Notamacropus eugenii: one gene and its partner. The protein of the gene in region 1 interacts with the protein of each later gene in a pairwise test. Links are inferred from orthologs where the notes say so. Each region holds a gene or a part of one and is shown on either strand. Other genes may lie near its edges.

What was found.
Region 2: the proteins of UBQLN4 (region 1) and SPP1 interact in a two-hybrid assay, tested with the Homo sapiens proteins (2 studies listed by BioGRID and IntAct). The link is inferred for Notamacropus eugenii from reciprocal best matches to the Homo sapiens genes UBQLN4 and SPP1.

What each region holds. Positions count from the first base shown.
Region 1 is NC_092873.1:380,136,365-380,148,699, reverse strand, and holds the start of UBQLN4 (ubiquilin-4), read left to right. Parts: upstream 1-7,603; 5' UTR 7,604-7,621; coding exon 7,622-7,795; intron 7,796-8,769; coding exon 8,770-8,921; intron 8,922-12,335. Other genes in the region: RAB25 (ras-related protein Rab-25), read right to left, coding at 1,562-1,604; ragulator complex protein LAMTOR2, read right to left, coding at 3,671-3,727, 4,008-4,097, 5,123-5,285, 5,853-5,920. UniProt on the Homo sapiens protein: Regulator of protein degradation that mediates the proteasomal targeting of misfolded, mislocalized or accumulated proteins.
Region 2 is NC_092878.1:141,854,651-141,866,907, forward strand, and holds the start of SPP1 (osteopontin), read right to left. Parts: upstream 6,215-12,257; 5' UTR 6,134-6,214; intron 5,572-6,133; 5' UTR 5,540-5,571; coding exon 5,486-5,539; intron 5,371-5,485; coding exon 5,329-5,370; intron 3,788-5,328; coding exon 3,707-3,787; intron 3,107-3,706; coding exon 3,065-3,106; intron 2,057-3,064; coding exon 1,799-2,056; intron 494-1,798; coding exon 47-493; 3' UTR 1-46. UniProt on the Homo sapiens protein: Major non-collagenous bone protein that binds tightly to hydroxyapatite. Appears to form an integral part of the mineralized matrix. Probably important to cell-matrix interaction.

The DNA of each region.
Region 1 (12,335 bases):
GTCTATGTGAGAGTACCAGGCTTGCATGTATTTGCATGTTTATGTGCATATGCATGCATGTCTGTATGTACAGGGACAGGCATGTATGTTTGTAGACAAATTTACATGTAAGAATATTCATGTACATGTGTATCTAGGTCCTTCTGTTTCTCTGTGTGTGTGTGTCTCTGTCTCTTTCTATGACCCTCCTCCTAAGCCCTATACATTAATTTATCCCTCCTAAGAGGATGGGCTCCCCTATCCTTCTCCTGGGCACCAGAGCATTGATGCTCCTTACTCTGTTCTTTTCCACCCCCACCTTTCTCAGTACAAAAGGGGTGCAGCTTCCCCTAGCTCCTGAGTAAATGACCCATTACCCTGTAGGGAGTTAAAGCTAAGGTAAGGGCTGGGCCTGGGAGAGGCTTGGTGGGTGGGGTGGACTGGGGAAGCTGAGTCTTACATTGTACACCCTGCCCTAAAGGGAGAGTAGGGTGTAGAAGAAGGGGACCAGTAGGGATGGCCACACATGCAAATACAGACAGGGGACCTGCTCTAGTTCTAAGGGAGACATCCAAGAGGAAAAAGAGACAAGAGAAGGAAGTGGGAGCCCAGAACCCAGATGCCCTTGTTTCTTGAGAATAGACTTTGTATCCCCAATACCTGGCACAGTGTCTGGTAGATACGTCCCAAGTCAGAAGATCATATATTTAAAACTTAAGAGATCAACTAGCCTAATTCCTTCATTTTACATATAAGGAAACTGAGGCCCAGAAAAATTAAATGAATTAACAGTCACAAGAGTGATAAGTGAAGAACCCTAGTCCTGTAGCTCTAAACCCATTACACAACACCACTATTGTTGTTCAGTCATTTTTAGTTGTGTCAGACTCTTCATGACCCCATTTAGGGCTTTCTTGGCAAAGATACTGTAGTGGTTTGCCATTACCTTCTCCAGCTCATTTTACAGATGAGGAAACTGAGGCAAATATGGTTAAGTGACTTGTCTAGAGTCACACAGCTAGTAAGTGTCTAGGGCCAGATTTGAAACTCAGATCTTTCTGACTCCAGGCTTGGCACTCTCCATTGCACCACCTAGCTGCCCCCACTATACCATATCACCTTCCAATAAGCCCCCTTCTTTAACAGACAAATTTGACCTCCCTCCAGGGTACTGAATTTCTTCTATTGTCTCTGTTTTAACACAAAATAAGGAGACCCACCCTCTTCTATCCCTTTCTTCCTTTCCTGTTCTCCATGTTCCTTTTCCTTTCTTTCTTTAGGGGAAGGGGAACCTCACTGAGGAAAAGGGTTCTCCCTAAAGTGTAACCCTCTATTACCTAACTACAGACTCTGAGGCAGAAGTGTGTGGCTAGGAGATTTTTTTTTCTGATTATAAATTATTACTAAAACAAATAGACTCAAGAATCCTCTCTGCCTCTTGTCACTGTAAAGCCCTCTGTCATCTGATGGAACGATTAGCTATGGAGAGGCTCTAACAGAAAACAGAAGCAGAGAATGGGGGCCTCTCATCATAGTCCTTTTAGTGTCTAAATCTCAGTTTCCCCCATAGACCCCAACTCACCCTTGAAGACAAAGTTATAATCCTCTTCTGCTCCGTTTCCCATCTTGGTCCCGCATCGAGTGTGTATGAATATGTGCAGTTGTAGTGAGAGGTGTAGATGGAAAATGGGATTAGGGCGTTGGCTCTGTGCCCCTCAACCCTCTGCTCTCTGGAGACCTTAACCTGACTCTCTTCTCATTGGGGATAGTTGGTCTTTGCAGTAGGAAGGAACAAGGGCAGACTCGGTCACTACTGGTGGGCTGGGAAGTCTCAGCTAATTAAAAAGAGGACGGGTCACAAGGAGAGGACGGAAGCAGCAGAGAACAGGAAGAGCCAGGCGGCTGGAGACCTGGGGCCCAAGTGGGTGGAGAGAGTGATGACGTCACGACAGGTTGGACAGGTTGGGTGTCTCTCAGGCCCTGGCCCTGGGTGGGGAGCAGGACAGATTTCTTAGAAGTTGAGGGAGGCAAATGGGACCTAGGAGGCTGAAGGAGGTTCCCCTTCCCCTAAAGAAGGAGAGCAGGGCCAGCTAAGTTAGCATCACTAGGCTTTCCTGGTCTTTGGTTAGGTTAGTTAGTCCCTGATCTTAAGTCTGCAACAACTATGTGGGGAAAACAGAAAGAATCCTGTCCTCAGCTCCCACTCTGCAGAAGTAGCCGGAGCAGGTGAGCTAATGGCACTTCAAGAGCATTCCCAATGCTGTCAGTGTGGACCGGAAACTTATGATCTAGTGACACTTGCTGCTCTGGCAGCGGGAGAAGCAGCAAGTTAGCTAGGTACAGTTGCTATGGTAACAACCCCTCCCAGGGAGCCCAGGGCAGTAGGCTGAGCAGCCTCTTTTTTGGGGGGGTAGTAGATTTTTTTTATAGTTTTTTTTCCCCAGGAAGTGAGGTTGGAATTTAGGAAACTTCGGGAAACTGAGTAATTTACAGCAGAATTGGTGGCATGCGGGCTAGCTGGTTTGGGGCTAGGGTCTCTGGAAGGTTAACTGAGGGCTTTGAGTTAAGGAGCAAGAAACATTGAGAAAAGAGAAGAGCAAGGTAGAGAAAGAGATGGACTAAGTAACGTAGCTAGAAAAGAAACAGGTCCTGTGAGGTATATGTACACACACGTCGTGAGTTAGGGGAGGATTTGGAGCTGGGCAACATAGCCTGAGGTCTCTGATCAACCTCTGGCCTGGAAGTTAGGTGTCCTGGACTCCAGCAGGCTCCCCTTTCTCTGGCCTGGGGCTTCCTTCCCAGCCCCATACTCCTGACAGCACATCTGAAAAGGGCTTACAGATTCCAAGTTAAGATTGTGTATATCTTTGTGTTTGTTGGGGGTGGGAAGGCAGTTAAACCCTTGAAGGAAGCCAAATGTCCCTGGTAGCTCTTACTCATCTTCCAAACTAAGAAATAGACTCAAAATGGATACGCCTGAAGATGGGGGTTGGGGAAAGAAAGTAAAATGGTCACATGACCCTCCTGGAATAGGAGTTGAAGCACTGAGCTCCCCATGTATAAAATGTGACCCTCACTATGTCCCTCCCCACCAAACTCAGGCATCCATCCAGGCTTACTGTAGATTATGGATGATAAGTTGGAAACTGCAGCCAAAACACCATTTGGTTCCTAATGAGAGGAGAAAGAATCTATTAAAAATGCACCCTGAAAGTGATCCCTTATCCATCTCAAAATCTGGCAGTTGGAAGGGCCTTCAGCAGCAATCTTGTCCAGTTCGTACATACAGGAAAGAAATTCTCACCATTAATATACCCCACAAGTGGTCATCTTTTCTCTACTTTATGACCTTGAAGGAGGGGGAGCCCATCCCCTCTCAAGGCAGCCCATTTTACTTTTGGCCTGCTCTAATTGTTTTTCCTGACCTATGCAAGCCTAAATCTGCCTCTGAAACTTTCATTCACTTCCCGATGGGGCCAAAGGGAACAAATCTAATCCTCTAGTACCTCCCCCACTAAACGTGACCATTAAGAAAGAATCTAAGACATAAGACAGGTGTTAAATAGTTTATTCAATGAGATTGGAAAACTTCCCTTCAGACCTCAGGAAAGGTTTACTGGGGACCCTGCCCCCATCAAAAGATGAGCCCTCCACCCTCATCCCCACTCTCAAGTCGATTATCCCCCGATTGCTATGACGCTGCCACTTGAGTGAGGGGATCCTCCAGGTACTGAACCAGGGCCTGGGCCTGTAAGAAGGTTAGTTCAATTTAGCCATGAAAAGAATACCTGATGGAGTCAAGGACTGGGACATCCAGACTCCCAGTTCCACTCCCTCCCTCCCCATCAGCATCAGCTTTTAAACCTCATACACTTTTTCCCAGGAAATAAGACTGAGATGTCTGAGCTCCTCATTTCTACCTATTCTAGAGAAAGCTTGGGAATAGGGAAGAGGACTCCGAACTAGCAAGATGAGGGCATGAAGAACATGAGACATTTTTTAAAAAAGGAGATGGGATAAGGGATCACCTTGGCCTTCAGCATTCCAAAGCCCACAGTCTCTTTGGCGTACATACACAGCAACAGGTTTGCCACCCGAGTGATTGCTACCCGGCCCTCCTGCAGGGGTAGAAAATGTGATATATGACTGCTAATTGGCCCCAGCTGTCCCCACCATTATGGTTCCTAGAATCCATTTTTTGGAATAATGTAATATTTGTGTGATTTTAGGTAAACTCCTTGGCCCCCAATTTTCTTAGGGAGTTGGAATAAAAAACCTCTGAGGAGTCTTCCAGCTCTAAATTTGGGATTCTATGATCTTTTTTAGGCTTACATACTATCATATAGCCTCATGTATTGTTCTCAGTTTAATGTAATTCTCAGAGAAACTATAAGCTGTCAGGGCAAAGACTCAGGCACATGAAATGGTTTCTTTGTATGAGGTAAAAAATTAAAGTACCAGGTTCAGATCCTTGCTTTCAGGTCTACTTGAGACTGTACCCTAAAATTGTTGTTGGGGTCCCACCCCCATGATGCACTTGGGAGTTTCTGTCTCCTCCTCCCTCCAATCATCCAGCATCTGCTCCAAGTCTATCCACTGATTAAAGTAATCAGAGTACAATGGAAACAACACTGAATTTGAAGTCGGAGGACCAAAGATCCAGAAGATTGCAAACTCTTGGAGAATAGGGATTGTTTTGTCCTTGTTACCCCTAGTTCTTAACACAGGGTCTGAGGCTTAGTGATTGTCAAATTGAATTGAATTTCAAAGTGCAAGCTGCCTTGAAGGTCAATGAGTCCAAACTTCCCATTTTACAGATAAGGAAACCGAGGCCCTGAGAGGTTGTGACTTGCCTGAGAATAACAGACATTTAAATAATATAGACAGTACTTAAACCCAGGTTCTCTAAATCTAAATCCAGCACTCATTCCATTATTAACATAGTCTAATCTGCACTTTTGCTATGTTTGTGACCTGGGCATATCACTTAGCTCTCAGTTTTTTCATCCATAAAACAGAAGGGGATTGGATAATAGGCTCTCTGTGTTCCCTTCCAGCCCTAAATCATTGACCCCAAAGAGTCATCCACTAAGGGAATCTAGTTTAAATCCCTCCACTCCAGGAGCTCCACTCCCCTTCATACCATGCAGTCCATAAGGATGAATTTGAGATTGTCTTCGTTAAAGGCTTGGTTCCCATTCCGGTCGTAGGCAGCCCAGATGTTACTGGCGATGGCAGCAGTGACCCTAGCATCGGTGTCCCCATAACCAGAGTAGGCCAGCAGGGAGCCCTCATTATTCAGCAACCTGGGGAGGGGGGATATAGTTAAAATGACTGGCTGGAGTCCTATGAATGTGTTCCGGGGTGAGAAGCCTGAGTTCCCTCTCCTAGATTTCGCTTTCCCCAGGGGTTGGGGCCCCAAGCTAAAAGCTATCAGCCTCCCCCCGCGACACACACACACTTTCTGAAAACCACTGCCCTCTTCTTCCCCCTTCCTTCCCTTCCCCCCTGCCCAAATCTTTCTTCTTCCCTCAGTCCCGCCACCCATTCCTCATCCAGGTTTCATTTCCCTAATAGCTCAAATTCCAGGAAAGCAAAGCTTGTTTCATTTTTGTCCATGAACCCCCCAAACCCCTGCACGGGGGCTGCCATCCAGTAGGGACGCCTTAACAAATGCTGGCTGACGGACCGATGGATTGATTGATAGCGTGCCCCTTTTCCTACACCTCCGTGTTCCTGGGGTCTCTTCCTCCCTTCCTGGGGTATGCAGAGCTCCCACTCCCGGGCCGGACTACAGGCTTGTTCCAATCCCAGCTAGGATGCACTGCATCCTGCCCCTTCTCCCCAGGGCACCCCCTACCCCCAACACTTACAGTGTGCTCTGGACGCCTCCGGTGTTGGCTTGACTTAGCACCTGGGTCAGGGCCTTGGGGCGAAGCATGACGACCGCTCCGAGTCCCCGCAACCCGGTCTACGTCCTGGATCCCTAGGGTCTTCCCCTGGCTCGCACTAGGTCGGACGCTTCCCGTAGCCCCGGCCGGTTCCCCCGGGGCTCACTGGGAATTGTAGTCTCCACCGGTAATGATCATTGCAGGCCTCCGTGGTAGGGCACCCTGGAAATTGTAGTTCTTTCTCAGCCCGAGAGGCATCTTGGGGGCCGTAGTCCAACATGCGAGGAGTAAAGACTCACCGAGGACATTTAAGCCGTCCCGGGAGCCTGGAGTAGTGTGGTCCGCACGTAATGAGTCATTTATTTAATTTTTGTGTGTGTGCGCAAATCTTTGCGCTTTGCAAGGTACTTTCATATAAATCAACAAGCATTTATTAAGCATGTAGCAGGCACTGTGCTAAACCTAAATTGCCCTTAATAATCATGTGGGGTAGGAAGGTTAAGTATTATTAATCTCCATTTTATATAAATGGGGATAAAAAGTCGTGACTTGCCCAAGGTCACACAGCTAGCTCCTACTTGAGCTGTTGTTTCCCTGTCTAGTGCTCTTTTCACTCCAGCATACTACTTTTGTTTTTATTTAAGAGAGGAGGTTAGAAGAAGAGGGAATTTAGCATAAAGCATCAGATGTTAGATTCCAATCAACCAGCAAACATTTATTAAGCTAAAAATACCCAGGTTCAAGTTCTGCCCCTGCCACACAATGACTGGGTAAATCTGAGCAAGTCATTTAACCTCCTTTCTGCAGACAACTAAGGGGATAAATTGCAGAGAAGGTGCTGGCCTGCACTGGTAAAAGGAATGTCCCCACCCAGGAGTTCCCTGCACCAAAGAAATCACAGCCTTATTCCTATCAAGCACAAAATCTTCTAGGTTCTAGTGACTGGGAGACACTTTACACAGGATTACAAAAGATCGAGGCTATTTGATTCTGAAGGGGAAGGAAGACTCCTAACTAGGGGAGGAGAAATGACCCTCAGAGGAAAGCTAAATGTCATCAGAAGGAGAGAAGTTTATAAGGTCAAGAAACAGAAGAGGAGTAGCTGTGGCACTGACCATTTTCTTATTTCTCAGGGCTGAAACCTTTCTTGTGTGTTGTCTCCCCATTAGAACCCGGTCTCCTGTAGATCAGGGACTGTCTTACTTCTCTTCTTCCCCAGGACATAACAGTACGTCAGTCAATAAATATTCAGCACCTACTGGGTGCCAGATACAGGGTTGTGCATAGATTAAATGCTTAATAATTTTTTTCATCCACCCATTTACACAGTAAACATCTGAGGCTGAATTCGAACCCAGGTCTTCTTGATTCCTTTTTGTCCTGTGAGACAAGAGACCTTTCCAATCCAGTGACCATCAGGACCCTTTAAAGTCAATGACCGTCCCGTCCAGTGAACTTTCTCCCTCCTAGACACATTGTCCCCGGTGCTGCCGTGACTCCCCCAGTCCGCTGGGGGCGCTGTAACCGCCGAGAGCTAGAGAAGGAAGAGAAGCGGAGACTCGCGGGGCGGGGCGGGCGCGGCTGCGGCGGCGGCGGAGGCGGCGGCGGCGGCAGGGGGGGGGGAGGGACGGAGGGCGGGCAGGAGAAGGCTGGGGTGGGGGGGGAGGGCTGGGGACGCCGTGGCCGGGCCGGGCCGGGCGGGGAGGAGGAGCCGGGGCCGGGCTGGCGGGCGGGCGGACGGCGGCGGCGGCATGGCGGAGCCGAACGGGGCCGGAGCCGGGGCCGGGGCCGGGACCGGGACCGGGACAGGGGCCGCGTCCGGAACCGGTGCCGAGCCGGGGCCAGGGCCCCCGATCCGGGTCACCGTCAAGACCCCCAAGGACAAGGAGGAGATCGTGATCTGCGATCGCGCCTCGGTGAAGGAGGTATGGACGCCGCTGGCCGTTCGGCGGGCCGCGGAGGCGGGAGGAGCGGCGCGCTGGGGGCCGGGCCGGGCCGGGCGCGGGCGTGCAGGGAGGGACGGAGGGGGCGGGGAGGGACGGCCGGGGGGAGGGGAGAGGAAGGAGGGGGCCTCTGGCACATGGTGGGGAGGGGAGGGAAAGGGGAGGCTCGTCCATCCCTGGAAGCAGACGGGAGGTGGGGGGCGAAGAGAGGTTGCAGGAGTGGGGTCAGGGGGCTGTCTGACCCACGAGGGTCCGGGCAGGCTAGAAAGTGAGGAGGCGGCGTACCCCCAGTCCCAGTCCTGGAGCTCGGAAGGGCCAGAAGCTGGCCCTAAGGGATGAGAGGAGAAAGCCCCCCATGCCCCAAATGCCCCATTCAGGGAAATGCCCTTTTCCTTTAAGACCCTGCTTGCCCCCACAGAGTGCTGGTTGTAGGCTGCCTTGGTCCTGATCCCCTCCTTTACTGCCTTAGCCTAGAATGAGTTTAAAGATAACGGCACCCCCAAGTTTAAAGGTGGAGAGTAAGAGAAAACTGAAGGGGGAGATCCAAGTGAGGAAAGAAAGGTTAGATAGTAGCAAGGAGTTGATTTTTTTTTGGGAGAGGGTGATACTGTGTTATGGACAAAAGAGTCAGAGAAACTGACTTGGTTAGAATTTAAACTCCTCAGTTTACTTTGGATAAGCCGGTCCACCCCCTCAGTTAGCTCATCTCTTGGGGTTGGCCTAAGTGGTCTGTAAGGTCCCTCTCAGCTCCAAATCCTGTGATCAAGGGAGGACTAGAGCCCCTGTGGTCTTCATCTCAGTAGAGTATGCAGCAGGACACAGAGGTGCTAGATTGGAGGAAAGATTTCTGATGACTGGAAATTGGAGCAAGGATTCTGAAGAAGAGTCTGAGCTGTTGGACAGTCTTTCTGTGAGGCAGGCCACACTGACCCTGGACCTTTGACCTGATATCACAGTTCAAAGAGGAGATCTCCCGGAGGTTTAAAGCCCAGCAAGACCAGCTTGTCCTGATCTTCGCTGGCAAGATTCTCAAAGATGGAGACACGTTAAATCAACATGGGATCAAGGATGGGCTCACTGTCCATTTGGTGATCAAGACCCCGCAGAAGTAAGTTTGGGATAACCAATAGGAGCTGCCCTTTGAATGGTCCTTGAAAGGCTACTGCTTTCTTACTCATCCTAACCCAATGGAAATCGTTTAGAGGTCTGAGAAGGAGATGCTATAGTCTTGATTGCGAGTTTGGGCTTTTTAAGTGTATAAAATTTAACTTAACATCCTCCTAGTATAATGTTACTTCCCTAGAAAAAATGGAGGCTAGTGTCTTACCCTTTTAAAAATCCTTGCTGAGAAGTTCAGTCCTTTATTAGTTTTCCATTTTCTTAAAGAAATAATTCTTTTGGAAAAAATTTTATTGATGACTTTTCTTTGAATGCCATGTGACTTTTCAGTCATTCTGTCTTCCTCTATTCTACAAAATAGTACTCTTCTCTTGTAGGAAAGAAAAACTGTAGTAAAGCAAAACAAACCATCATATTGACTGTTTCAGCCAGGTACCTCATTCTGCATTTGTAGTCCTTCATTGTTCTGTCAAGCAGAGGAAAGTGGTTTTGGCCATTTTCAGTTTTCTGACGTTGAGATTGGTCACTGCCTGGATCAAGTAACAATGGCTAGCATTTATACAGCACTTTAAGTTTTATAAGCCATTTTACCTCATTTGATCTTCAGCACTGGGAGTGCTCTTGCCCACTGTAGTCCCTAGCAGCCTAATGTTCTGATGGCTTTCATTGTTTTCCTTTACTTTAGTATGATCTTTCAGTAAATGATCATAATCAATTTCTAGTTCTGCTCATTTTACTCTGCATCAGTTCATTCAAGTCTTTCCAAGTTTCCCTGAACTCTTCTTATTTGTCATTTCTTATGGCACAATAAGATTCCATGGCATTCATGGTACAATTGAAAAGAGCCTTGGGTTTAGAGTCAGAACATTGGCTCAAACCCTGCCCAACACTTGCAACCTCTTTGACCTTGGACAAATCTCTTAACCTCACCAGGCCTTAGTTTCCTTGTCTGTAAAATGAAAGATGGACTCCTAGCTTCTTTATTTCCAGTTTCTTGCTATCTCAGAAAGTATTGTTATAAATATTTTTGTGTATGTGGACCCTTTCCCTTTGTCCTTGACATCCTTAGGATATGTCAATAAATCAGTCGCTAAGTCAATAAACGTTTACTAAGCACCTACTATATGCCTGGCCCTGTGTTAAAAGGGAAAGTCCCTGCCCTCTAGGAGCTTCCAATCTAATGTGGGAAGATTATATACAAAAGGCAGGTAAAGGGGGGAGGGGTAGTACCTGACTTGGGGGCATGGTGGAGAAGTCAGAAAAGTTCCAGAGGAGTGAGATCAGGTGAGAAATGAGATGTTCTGAGCCCAGCTCCCTGCTTAAATAGAGTTTTGAAAGTTCATGGCACCACCTTTCAATCAGAAGGGCAGAGGGTAGTAAAGAAGTGAAGTCCTAGGGCTGAAAAGACCTTTCAGGATGGTGAGATTTTCCCAATAATGAGCTTCTTTGACCCTGGTGGAGAAGTCACAGATGTCCCAGAGTAGTACTCAGGTGCGAAATAAGGAGGCCCAATACTGGTATTACTGGGGGTGAGTGTGTGGGCGTGTAGTTCAGCCCGGTTCCAAATTGTTTTCTAGAACACTTAGATCGGTTCATAGCTCTACCAACAGTATGAATGTGCTCATCTTCCCTCATATCAGCTAACATTTACCCTTTACCATGTAGTCATCTTTACCTGTGTGCTGGGTGTAGGGTAAAACCTGAGTTCTTTTCATTTTCATTTCTCTTATTATTAGTGATTTGAAACATACTTTCATGCGGTTGTCAATAGTTTGCAGTTTTCATTTGAAAACTGCCTGTCCATGGCTTTTAACCATTTTATATATTGAGAAATTTCTCTAATTCTTGTGTGTGTGTCTCTATATGTATATATGTACATGTATAAACATGCACATGTATGTACATATGCACACATATATGTATGTGTATACGCAGGCATATATGTGGATATGTATATATATTCCTATAGTGCACATATATGTATATTATTTCAATACGTATGTACACATACCTTGGGTGGTCAATGCTGTTATCCCCGTTTTATAGATGAAGAAACAGATTGAGAGAGGTTGAATGACTTCCCAAGGCCCCACAGCTGGTAAAAGTCGGAGGCAGGTTCTGAGCCCAGGTCTTTGGCTCCAGGTCCAGGAATCTTATCTTCCCCCTAGCTGACTATATATATGAGTTCTCTCTATCTCTTGGTAGACTTCTCGTTTCTAGTTCTGTGGCCTCTTTTGGCCGTTTTTTGGCTGAGACCCTGAGACTTGAGAGGAATCAGTAGGGTGTTAAAAAGAACATATTTTTTAAAGCTAAATTCTAGCATGGAGAACCACAAGCTGTTGGGAAAGTCAGCATCATCTTCCATAGCAGTCTAGGGACAGTGATCTGAATGGGCAAAGAGCAGCAACCTTTGAGCTGAAAGCTCTGAGTTCCATCATTGTAACTCCTCTTTACTAACTGTGGCTGTGGGCAACGACATCATTGACCTCTCTGAGTTTCATCTGTACAGTGGGAATGCTATATGTACTATTTCCCCCAGGAGGTTGTGAGGGAGGAATGAGAACTCACCATGTAGTGTAGTGGATGGAAAGCTGGCCTGAAGGCCAGGAAGACCTGGGCTCAAGTCTTACCTTAGACATGTATTGACTGTGTGACCCTGGGCAAGTCTCCTCTCACTGCTCTAGGTAGTTCTCTAAGACTCTTAAGTTACAGAGGAGTTGTCAGCTTATATTGGTGGACACTTGCTGGTTGTGTTACCTTGGGTAAGTCACTTAACTTCTCTGTCTGCCTTAGTTCCCTCATCTGTAAAAGGGGGATAGTAAGAGCACCTACCACTCAGGGTTATTGTGAGGATCAAGTGATGTGATATTTGTGAAGCACTTAGCATAATAACCTGCACATAGTAGGTTATATAAATAATTGTTTTCTAACTTGGTAGAGGGAGATTCTTCACCTTGAGAGTATCAGTGAAATCACAGCTCTGTTGCCTTTTCTTAGCCCTACTATGTGCTAAGGACTAGGGACAGAAACACAAAAGCAAGACAGTCTGCCCACAAGGGGCTATGTGATTCTGGTCAAGAAACATTTCTAATGGGGAGGGAGCACCTTTTCCCCTTCATCTTTTTCTGTCTCTCTTCTACCCCCTGGGACTCAGAGTGACTGAGTGATTTGCCTGTGGGCATATAACAGATTGGTAGGGCGCCACTTCTGGTGCCCAGGTCTTCTGAATGCCCAACTAGTCCTCCTAAGTTAGCACTGCTTTGCCATCTGAGCCTCCTTGTAAATTTGGGGTGGAATGGGGGGTGATTTATGATCAAGAGGATCACTTCTAGCTCTTAATAATCTATGCTTCCATAATTCTTTGATTCCTGGGTTCCCAGTTTAGGATTTTCCCTCCTATGTC
Region 2 (12,257 bases), on another chromosome or scaffold:
ATTTTTCTGTCCTTTCTAAAAGCACAGTTGAGATTGCCCACCCCTATTAATGAACTTCAGAAGATGCGCTATCAACTTCATGGGAAGAATGAAGCTTCAGATGTTTAGTATTTTCAGCACTCTCCTGGTCATTGACTAGGAATTCTTGGCTGTGAGATTCTTGGCTTCTCTTGTTGAGTTGTCGTTTGTGAAATTCTTGGCTCTCTCTGTCAGCTTCTCGACTGTGAAATTCTTGGCTGACTTTGTAATTTTCTTGACTGCCATGTGAGTCACCTTGCTGCTGGCTGTCATAGTTAATCCGTTCAAGTTGATAGCTTTTCAGTTGCTCATGACTTTGGGTTTCTACACTGTATTCATCTGGGTGGCTGGCTTCATTGCTGTTCCAAGCAGAAGCCTTAGGAAAGTTTTGTGAGACAGGGTATACCTTGAGGGCCTTTTTAGACTCATAGCTTTCTATTTGGGATGTAAGATCCTCTTCTGTAACATCATGCACCTGTGGCAAAACAACAAAGAAAGAAAATTTCAAGGAATGTTTTTCTTCAGTGTGCTTTTGTACCTCCTTTCCCATTTGGCCAATTCTACTTTTTAAGAGCTATTTTCTTCAGTGAATTTTTGTGCCTCAGAAAGATTTCAAAGTACTCCTACACATGAGTCTATCAATCAATAGTCTAATATGGGCTAAAAATTGCCCATGATAGAAAGACAAAAATAAAATACTTCCTCCTCTTCTGACTCTCTAGACTTTCTCTACCACACCTCAACAGCCACCTAATACTGAAGATTCACTCTATCCTGGTACTTCTCATATTGATAGTACATAGGGCTCCAGTAGCCCCTTCCTCTGATTGGCTGCTGCTTTTCAGAACCTCCATTTTAAGGAAAGCATCTAGGCCAGCCACGTCTAAATGCCTCTCCAGGCTCCATCCTGACACTGGGGATTTTCTCTAGCATACCCTTATGTGGGTAACCTCTCGCCCCACACCTTCATCAGCTCCCTTTTACGTGTTACTTTCCCCTGTTGTAATATAAGTTCCTTGAAGGCAGGGACTGGCCTGTATTTGTATTCTCAGCTTTTAGCACAGTGCCTGGGCACATAGTAAGTGCATAATAAATGTTTGTTGCCTTGACTTGCGGTCAAGGACTTCACATTTTACCAGAGGAGACAACAGACCCACATAGAAGTTTATACAAAAGAAATAAAAAATTATGTTCAGGGGAGGGATATACTGGCAGTCCTTGGGTATCAGAAAAGCCTCATATAGAAAATGGCACTGAGATTCAAGAGAAACTAGGGATTCCAAGAGACTGTATGAAGGAAATCATACAATGATTCGGGTGAAGGAATTTTGTATGTGAAGGACAGCGATGAAGCCAGTTTGACTTGATTATTTAGTGTGTGAAGAGAATTAATGTAAACCATTTTTAAACTATGGCTAACAACATGGAGGGGGATTAATTTTAGCTAAAATGTGTGTTTGCATAGTTATTCTATTTTTTAGTCTTTTGAGCTAATGCTTTTTTTGTATATGATTGCCATACTCTAGAGACTTTTCTCCCAAGAAAGTCTAGATGGAGTAAGATAATTGATGGAGACCTTGGCACCATTTTGAACCATGATTTTTAAGTGAAAACTGCAGTGTTAGAGAAGGAAAAGTGTAGAAATTTATGTGGATTTTCCAAAAGCACCAAATAAAACATTTTAAATAATAATTTTGTATTGGATATTGCTTTCGTTCATTTATTCCTTAAAAGGGAGGCTTTTTCGTAACCATCTAAAATTTTTGTCAAGAGAATTTACCTGTTCTGATGATCTGTGGAGTGCTCCCAATTTTGACTTCAGTCCGTAAGCCACACTATCTCCTCTGCCACCATCACCTCTTGTTGGTCCATCAGTTACAAAACTTGGTGTTGCTGGGGTATCAGTAGGAAAATCAGTGACCACCTCATCAGATTCATCTGAATCATCAGAATCAATGCTTTGATGTCCTTCATCTCCATCTTCGTTATCATCATCATCAATATCATCTGGGCTTTCATCAGAGTTTCTTGGGAGTGTCTAAAAGTCAAAAGTTTTTTTTTTAATTTAAAGATCTACATAAATGTTAGCTATTGAACTCTACTTGAAAAATTCATAAATTATTTTCTTTATATTTATACATCATAAAATATTCTCTTTCCAAAATGCTTCATATTTTGTAAATAAATTATTTGGTACACTAGTAGTTATTAGTTTGGATAATTGAAATTTGACTGAATGCACGTGTCAATACATTTCCATTTCTAACCATCACCTAAACCAATCAGTTAGTATCCATAAATAAGAAAATATACCGCCAAGCATTTGTGTTGACACTTCTGTTTTCATTCCAATGGCTTATTTAGTTTCCTCTCCAGGAGCTCTCAGTACATCACAATGGTGGTATTAAAAAAGTTAATATATGATTGTGATCAATGACACAATTGTATCATTTGACTCAAACATTGCTTTGACATGCCAGTGGCCCTATGAAGATTGGAGCTATTTCATAAACAATCAGATTGGAAATGAAAATATAAATAGAGTCAAAAATATTAATTTGGTTATTGTTCAAGGGCATTAATTTGTCACTTGATGAGCACGAGGTCATGTGTATTCGTAGACTTCAAACAAAATTTTTAAGCCTGATATTAATGAATCTTTATTTTAGGACTAAATAGATAGGAGATATGTTAATTCCTTAATGATGGGCCTTTTTGGAGTTATGTGATCTGATTTTACTGGTCAAGTTTGAAATGAATTTTTGAATCAAGACTGTCTAAACATTGAGCTTTGATGCTAGACTTTTATGTCAGCTCTGCTATAAATCCCTAATTATTATCTCTTGTAATAATTCAGATCACTCCAATTTATACAGCACTTTAAGGTTTACCAAGTACTTAACAAAGAAGTCTAGGAGGAATTCTCCAGTGGATTATCAGAGGTAGAGTATCTAGATCAGTCTTCCTGCGAGAAAGAAGTTTTATAACATTTTTTACACCCATTGAATTCCCTATGTTGGGAAAAGTTGTGGAGGTGAGAACTAACCTCTTGTAAGTCTTCTGTACTTTCTTCAGAGGACACTGAATTCTAAAAAGGGAAAAGATCAAAATAGGTTGATTATCTCCTTCTGACTGACATTCAAATGAAAATCTTTGTTCATCAACATGAAAATGACCCATCTTACATAACATAACATATGAGGACATCCATATGATTTATCCATATATAATACAGTTTTAAAAACTGCTAAATATTCTGTACCTTATTGCCTTGGAGAGGTGTCTGAGGTATAAATAGAAATCAAACCACTGGTTTCTTATATTCAAACACTTTGCACAGTGGTGCCTTCTGAGTTCATTTTGTAACTGCTCTATCTAAATAGCTGTATCTATACACTCATATGTCTTTATATATACATATTTTATTATTTACATATTTACATGCATGTTTTGTCCTCTGTTAAAAGATAAGTTCAGTGAGGGCAGGGAATATTTTTTGCTTTTTCATTGTATCTCCGAACTTAGTACAGTGTTTGGCACATAGAAAAGACTTAATAAATAACCTGTAGATTGATTAGTGGGGATGATGAGGAGATATGTATTTACATATATAAATGTATATATATATACATACATACAGGAATAAACACTTGAATTATATATTTAATCATACAAAATTTTCAAATACCTGTGTGGCTAATAATGTTTCCTTCTGGGAAGGGTCAGCACTCAGCCATGTGGCCACAAAGTCTGGATGTTTGTTATAAAGCTATAAGAAAAAAAATGCATGTCTATCATTATTAGAAGGGAAACGTATGCCCCTGTAAGTGATGTTGTATGAATTAGGGAGCTTTAGCAACATGAAATACATAAGAATAAAGATATAATTAGCTAAGAATCCTGTTACCTTTGTATCTTTCTTTCAAGAATTTGTTTGTAATTGCTGCTCCTTTGATAAATATTCCAATTCACTGACTCTTCTCTTAAAGTTCAATTAAAGGCAGATATAACCTTAGATAATTGTCTACTTTCCACATTACCATATATGTCAATGAAATTACATTTGCTCTGTGCCCAACATTTATGGAAAATTATGATTATGATAGGAATGGTGGTGGAAATGACAACAGAAGGAAGAACTTTGAGTTTGCTCATTCACATCCTGAATATCATTCTCAGCACTCAGCTACTGGTTACTACTTGGAGTTTGTGTTGCTCTCTGACTTCTCATTCCACTTAAGAGACATTGTTAGGGTACCTCCTTGCCTTATTTTATGTTCTCTGGGCATGGTAATCTTCTCTGACTAGAACAGAGGGGTAATCTTCTCTAAAAATGCCAACTTTCCTATTTCATTATGATAACAAAGCATTTTGCACTCATGAATGAATTAGGAAAAAGCAACATCTCAAAAATCCTGCTGATTCCTTCATTAAGCAACAATCACAATGATCCCAGATAACTCAATTTTAGCCTCTATTCTATCTAGAATTTTACTATGTGTTCTACAGGGTTAGTACCCGGGGGCAATGCCTGTTTTCTGTTGGACACAGTTTTATCTAGGAGACCAGCTGCAATTAAGATGCTATGAAACCAATAGTAGAATGTGTATGATTTCAACCGATGCCTATTTTATTTGGAAAATATGATTTGAAATCATCTGACAATATTCCTCGGACAATGGACTCAGAAGCAAACATCTAAAGAGATACTGCCTATGCATTTGGCCACATAGTCTTATAGACTAATGTCAGAAATGTATTTTAAATTCTACTTTCTCTTAGGGTGATCAAACAATGGATTGAACTCTTATAAAACAATATATTGGCCACAAAAGGGCACACTTAAACAGAAAGGATTCATGAATTATTGTGGTCCAGAGAACTATTTGCTTTTTTAAAAGGCCTAATTTTAACTTCACAAAGGAAAAATCATGCATTCTTAAACAGGTGGTAAACTCCTCAGCTAGGTTTTGAGTATAATATTGTAAGGGACCTTATTCTATACCCAACTGTACACAACAGTGCTGTTGCAGTGCTGGACCCAAAGCAGGCTTTGTAAAAATAAATGCTCATGAATTAATAAACTCAAGTTAATAGGGAAAAGTTCATGTTACCATTTTGTGAGCAGGCATTATTGTAACAGATATTTTGGGCAGTGAATTTTGTAAAAGTAGGCATATGTGTGTGTGTGTGTTAATCCTTTGTTGCCTAAGAAGACCATGCCATCAGAGAAATGATGACATGACTTCCACTTGACTTTGTAGTGAGTGTGAAGTGAAGTTAACAAAAAGATATTTAAAGGAAACTCACCGGCTTTTCTTCTGAGCTACCAGAATTGATCTGCTGCTTCACCTTTGAAACAAGAAAGATGAAAAGAGATTACAGTACAACTTTATTTCTAGCACAGAAAGAATCTATACAATTTATTCAGGTTTAGTAATGTAATTGAATTGTAATATTTACTTACAGGAAATGCAGAGACAATGCCAAGTAAGCAGAAGCAAATCACTGCAGTCCTCATGGTGAATTCTTCCTCAGTGTTTCCAAGGATACCTTGTAATATCAATTTAACCACAGTGATTCCATATTCTAGAGGCTCTTTCCTTTCCATTAACATTTTTAAAAATTTCTCTGTTGAGTTGAAATCTGAAAAGGAGTTCTAAAACCCTGTGCTACTATTTTTTTCCCCATTCCTGACAGTCAAAAGGGAATGTTAAAAACTGAGTCATCCAACATCGAAAAAGCATGAGTACATTTTACAATTCATTAATAGTTCTAATTCTCTATGTTAGACTCATTCTTAGCTGACAACATTAGATAATAACTTAAACTTAACATCAATATGCCAACCATATATGCAGTACATATCTTTCTCCACTTATAAGAGAAACCAACCAAAAAACTGGATGCGTTTTTATCATCTTTTCAGCTTGCATTTTAAAATAACATAACTCAATTTTAAAAAATCCTAGTCAGATTGTTTTAGCCTAGTTTTAAAACATGATGAGCTTTTGTAGGAGAAAAATAACTGAATTTAGAATAGCTTCGTCTAATCACCCAAGTAGAAATTTTAAGAAGTAAAGTGGTAAAACAAACAAATAAAAAATCTAATTACCTGAGGTGGAGTTTGAGCAAGAAGATTGTTCAGGTTCTCTTCAGGATCTGATGCTCCCTCCTCTTCTCTTCAGACTGCTCACTTGTTGTGACCTCCTAGAATTTAAATGCTGTCCCACATCTTCTCAGCCAATCACCAAGGGGTGGAGGAAAATGTCATGAGGTTTGTGCCACTGTCCCGCCCACCTTCTCCCACACTTTCCTTCTGGTTTTGTGGTTTTATAAAGCAAATACAAACTACCCTATAGTTAAAACATTACTTACATACTCTGTTATTTCCTAGCAGTTTCCTCCGAGGGTTTAACACATCATTATATAAGAGACTCAAGGGTAGGTGTACATAAAATAAGCAATACAAAAGCAAAGAAGACTAGTTTCTGGAAATGTTGAGTTTATGACTTAGCTATTGGGACAACATAGTATTTCATGACAATAAGTCGGCAACAAATGACAGATAAGATGAATGTATTTTTGTTTCTTGCAGAGTAAGTGAAAGCTTGAGATCAGAAAGTGGAAAGTGGGTTGATTAGAGTGAGGGGATCTGGTTTTCAGTACTGATTTTTCTACTTACTACCTGAATCACCTCAAACAAGTCTCTCAATCTCATCTGGCCCAAGTGAAAGGAGAGAAGGCACCAAATACTGGTTCTGTCATTTAGTAGCAGCAACAAATCACTAAATTTATCTCAGCCTCAGTTTCCTAATAAAATAGATGGTAATACTATCTATCCATTAGCACATTCCATCTTACACAGCAGAGGTTTTGAACACATGAAGATGTATGGACACAAGCTATCATTATGGACAATGTCTCAGATTAGTGAAATTGGACCGACACACCAAGTGTTCATAACTGTCTCTTCTGTAATTAAGAACCATTCTATACTCTTAAGAGAAGCACTAACATGACAATAAAACATGCATATGTTTTATATACATACATCCACAATGTGTATGTATACATATGCAACACATACACGTATACATGTATAGGTATACACATATGCATTGTGTATGTGTTTGTATTATGTATATGGTATAGTTGTGTATCTGTGTATATATAAACATATGCATATATATATGTATATGCATATGTACAAAATACACTGTGTATATGTATATGTGTGTGCACACATGTATCTATACCTATCTATATATTATATTCTTGAACAACTTTAAGGGAGATAATAGTTTTGTTGCATTATTGAAATAATATGAATTGTCAGGGCTTACTTGGTAATATCAGTGGAGAATCTTACTTCTTGTCATAAAAAATAGAAGCCTACTCTAGATATTGCTAAGATAAAGACTTAAGTTTCTATAAGGTTTTGCTTTGGGGGAAATGGTGATGTTAACTTTTGGCACTGTTCATCTCTAGAATGAGTCCCTACATAAGGTTTGTACATCTTGAATAACAGGAATGTCACATATACAAAAAATGGAAACATTCTGAATCATATTTAGAAATTAAATCCTAGCTATCTTCATGGCTCAAAGGAACCTCTGAGGTACCTAATCCAACCCACCCATGTAACAGATGAGACTGTTAAGACCCAGGGGTGTTAAGGGACTTTCGTAGATCATACACACTGTAAGCTCAAGAGGTAGGATTTGATTCCAAGTTCTCTAACTCCTGAGGAGAAGGGAGGGCAGAAATTAAACATATATAGACCACCTACTAAGTGCTAAGCTCTTTTACAAATATTATTTCATTTGATCTAGTCCTTTGGGTACTACACCTCTTGAGTTCTCATCCAACTTTTCTTGTCCCTCAGCTTTGTGCCCCCCAATTTATATAGATGATAATTTTATTAATTTATGAGCCTTTTAAAAAATTCATGTACCTAAATGCATGTGTGAGAGAAGAGGCTAGAGATGCTGTTTAAATGCAAGGACAGAATTTTTAGAGTTTCATTTCTGGCTACAATATTTCATTGTCATTGGAGGTCACTTAGCTTCAATATCATTTTCTCAGTTGTGAAATGGGGGGATTACAGTACTCATTTACTTCACAGAATTGTTTGAAGGATTGTATGCAAAGTGAGATGTAAGATAAATGGGCCGCTTTATTAGCATTTTCACAAGTCAGTTCCTTTTTGACCTGAAATCATGCCAAGCACTGTTTTAAAATAGCCACAAAAATCCCCAACCCTCTAGATGTTCACACTTTATTCCCAATATTAATGGAAAAACCCACAGTTGTTTTTTGTTTTTTTTTTTTAGAATTAGGAAGAAAATAACATTGGGTGCAATTCCAAATGAGTTAATCTTGTTAGATTTGCTGTCCATGGTGGGTTATATACATATGTGTGTATATGTATATATATACACACACACACACACATACATATATACACACACATATATATACACATATATGTATGTATTTATGTATACATATATATGTTCTAATAATACATACTTTATAAATGCTTGTAAGTTTTCAAGTGTTAAAATAAACTTGTAAAATATTTCTCTTACAACTACTTTTTTAATTATCTGATTTCTTAAAAGTATTACCTACATGGGCCTGATGTTATGAATTCCTTGGAGTACATTTATATATTCTAAAAGGCTTCACCTAGTTACAGAACTCATTGCAATTTACTCTTTACCCTCTCCTATAATTTAATATAAAATTGTAATAAGAATAAATTTCTGCAACTTTTCCTAGACTGAACCATGTAACCCCACTTATGAGTTTCTTGGGCATATCTATAAAGTTCCACAAGATGGCAGTATTTCGAAAAATGATCTTTGAAGCAAATAGCAGTGATTTGTTTCTACTGAGTTTCTTGTTGGAAGGGGTACACATTCATATGTTAAAAGACAAGACCAAAATTAGTTAGTGTATGCCACTTTCCCTTGGTGCTTACAGAAAGAAATTTTCCTCAACAAAAAAGCAGTGGGAAGGAATAAATAGGTCTAGACAAAAGTATTTTTTCTTTTCCATGCAATGCCTTGAGTCTCTGTAAGCTGTCAGGTAGGCCTCGCCATCTTTCTTGCAATTCATCAAAAAATGGTATTGGTTCTGAGGTTCTACAGAGTGTAAAACCTTATAAATTTATGGTTAAGGAATTTTGGGGGCTTCTTTGTAGTTGGGAAGGTAGAGAGCATGTTTTTGACACATAGACAAACTGGATATTCCTGTTTATAGCATCAGCAAGTTAAGCATAAGAATAGGGAATGACTTTGTGATTTTAATTGTTTTGCTAGTGAGGAAACATCCTCCACGACTCAGCACTTTCTCTGCAACTTTTGATAAGAGATATAATTACAGCGAGCAGTAAATGGACACTCCCAACAGCCATGGGCTGTCCAATACCCCATATGGATTTCTGATTACTGGAAACATGGTGGTCGCCAGAGCAATAAACAGCAGAAACTCTGCGTAGCATTTGGAACCATGACCCCAGCTGCTAAGTTACTCACTTCTTTCTTCTGTACACCTTTACAGTCTCACTCAAGGAAGATAAGCCATAAAGACAGCGTCAGTTAAACTAAAGAACATCAATGTGTTCGTACCAACAGAACTCTTTGTCCAATAGGAAGGGTGGACATTTTCCTCAAATATTTTCTAGGCAGAAGATGGTAGAATGTATTTTTTAATAGGCAGTAAAACCCAGAACACATCCTTGTTTATACATGCAAGTACACATCTATCTGCATGCATCTTGTACATGTATGTGAAAGATGCAATAGAGTGTAGATGCTAAACAATGGGCAGGATATACTTATGTGTATTAATCAATATATGCATGATGGAAAAGGATATACATATATATACATACATACATATATACATACATACATATATATATATATATATATACAGAAACAAACTATTATAGTTAATCTATCAATAAGCATGCATTGAGTACCAACCATGTGCCAGGCTTCATGCTAAGCACTGGCAATATAGTCACAAAGGTGATAAAGTCTCTGCCCTCAAGAAGTTGATATTCTTCTGAAAGCATATGACATGTTTACAAATGAGTAAACAAATGAATATAGCTCTCTATCATCTATATTTATATCATATCTGTCTGTCTTGTTTTCTACCCACATTGATTGACCAAAGGATACTACATAAAGAATGGAAAGAGCTCTACGTTATAGCAGTTTCTTAGTTTGGGTGTCCAGGAAGTGTTACCAGATACAGATGGTCTGTTTTTTAAGAAATACATTTTTATTTGTATCTTTTTCATTTATATTGACCAAATTTACCCTTTATATCCCTTCTCCTCTGCCCTCCCAGAGAACAACTCATATAACAAAAAATATTTTTTAAAGAAAAAAAAAGGAAGAGGAAAAAAATTCAGCAAAACTGATTGACACATGGAAAAAGTTTTAAAATATATGCAATGTTCCATACTTAAGAGCCTCTCACTTCTGCAAAGGAGTGGAGTAGGGTTATCTTTTCCTATTTCTTCTTGGGAGCCATGCTTGGTTTTTGTTTTTGAAAAATTTGAAATATTCACATTCTTTTTGACAATAATTTTTATTGATGTCTTTTGCTTTTTAAATCACAAAATTTTTCTCAGTTTTTCTTGCTGTTTCCTCCCAGAAACTCATCTCACATAACAAATAATATTTTTAAAGAAAAAAATAGAAAAGATGTAACAGAACAAATTCATGAAACAGATCAGTAAGGTGAAAAAGTCTGAAAATGTATCCTATGCTAATTATATATGTGTGTGTATATATACTTATACATATATGTATACATATACACACATATATGCATGTATATGTGTGTACACATATATATACCTATCTATCTATCTATCTATCTATCTATCTATCTATCTATCTATCTATCTACCTATATATACAGATACAGATACACGGGCATTATATACATACCTCTAGACCTCCCACATCTGCAAACAAGTGAGGTTGAAACGTCTTCCAGTATCTCTTCTTTGGGATCATATTTGTTCCTTGTGTTTTTGAAACATTATCTTTTGATGTTTTTATGTTGGTTCTTTCCATTTACAATGTTGCAATGATTGTGTACAATGTTTCCCTTGGTTTTATTTACTTCACTTTGCAACAGGTTGTGTCTTTCCATGTGTCTTGAGTGCTACTATAAATATTTTGTCATACGTGGGGATTTTCTTCTTGTCAATGACCTTCTTGGTAGATAAGAACAATACATACATCTTGAGGTTAAAGAGTATGGATAGTCACTTTATTTGTATAAATTGAAATTTCCTTCCAAAATGGTTATACAACGTCACAGCTCCACCGACAATGTATAAGCCTGTCTTTCCAAAACCCCTCAAATATTGACTTATTCCTATCTTTTTCCCCCCATTTTCTGGGTGTGAGGTAAAACTTTAGGATTGTTTTATTTTTCATTTCTATTATTTATTATTATTATTCTTGATTGTAGAGTATGGACTAAATTGTTGGTATAAGTTTGATTTCTGTCAGATCGTTTTCTGGTTTTCCTTTCTGACTTTTTTTTTTTAACAAGATAGAGAATTTTTTCCAAGTAATTTTTTTAATTTATTGAAAATTAAGTTATTGTTTTTATTTGTTTCTGATTTTCCCTTAACTAGTCTGTTCTGTAGATCTGCTCTGCTCTCCTTTAACCATCACCAAATAGTTTTGATGATTGTTAGTTTATACTATAGTTAAAGTCTGGAAGTACTATTCACCTGTCATTACTACTTTTTTAAATTATTTCTCTTAATATTCTAAATCTTTTGTATCTCTAAATGAATTTTGTCATTATTTTATAGTTTTGTAAGGTATCCTTTTGATAGTTTGATCGGTACAGTATTAGTACTGTAGCACCATTATTTTTGTTATATTGGCTTGGCCCAGCTATGAGCACTGAATATTCTTCTAGTTATTTTAATTAATCTTTGATCATTTAAGAAACACTTTAAAATTGGATAATAGATTAATGTTTTATACACTTATTTTGTGCATTTAGTAGTTAATTTGAATGGTATTTCATTTTCTCTTATGGCCTCTTAGATTTTGTTATCATCATATAGAACCATTCATGATTTTCATGGGATTATTTTGGAACTAGAGATCGCTTAGCAATTAATTATCTCAATTACTATCTTTGCTGATTTCCTAGGATTTTAAAAATAAATCACCATGCCA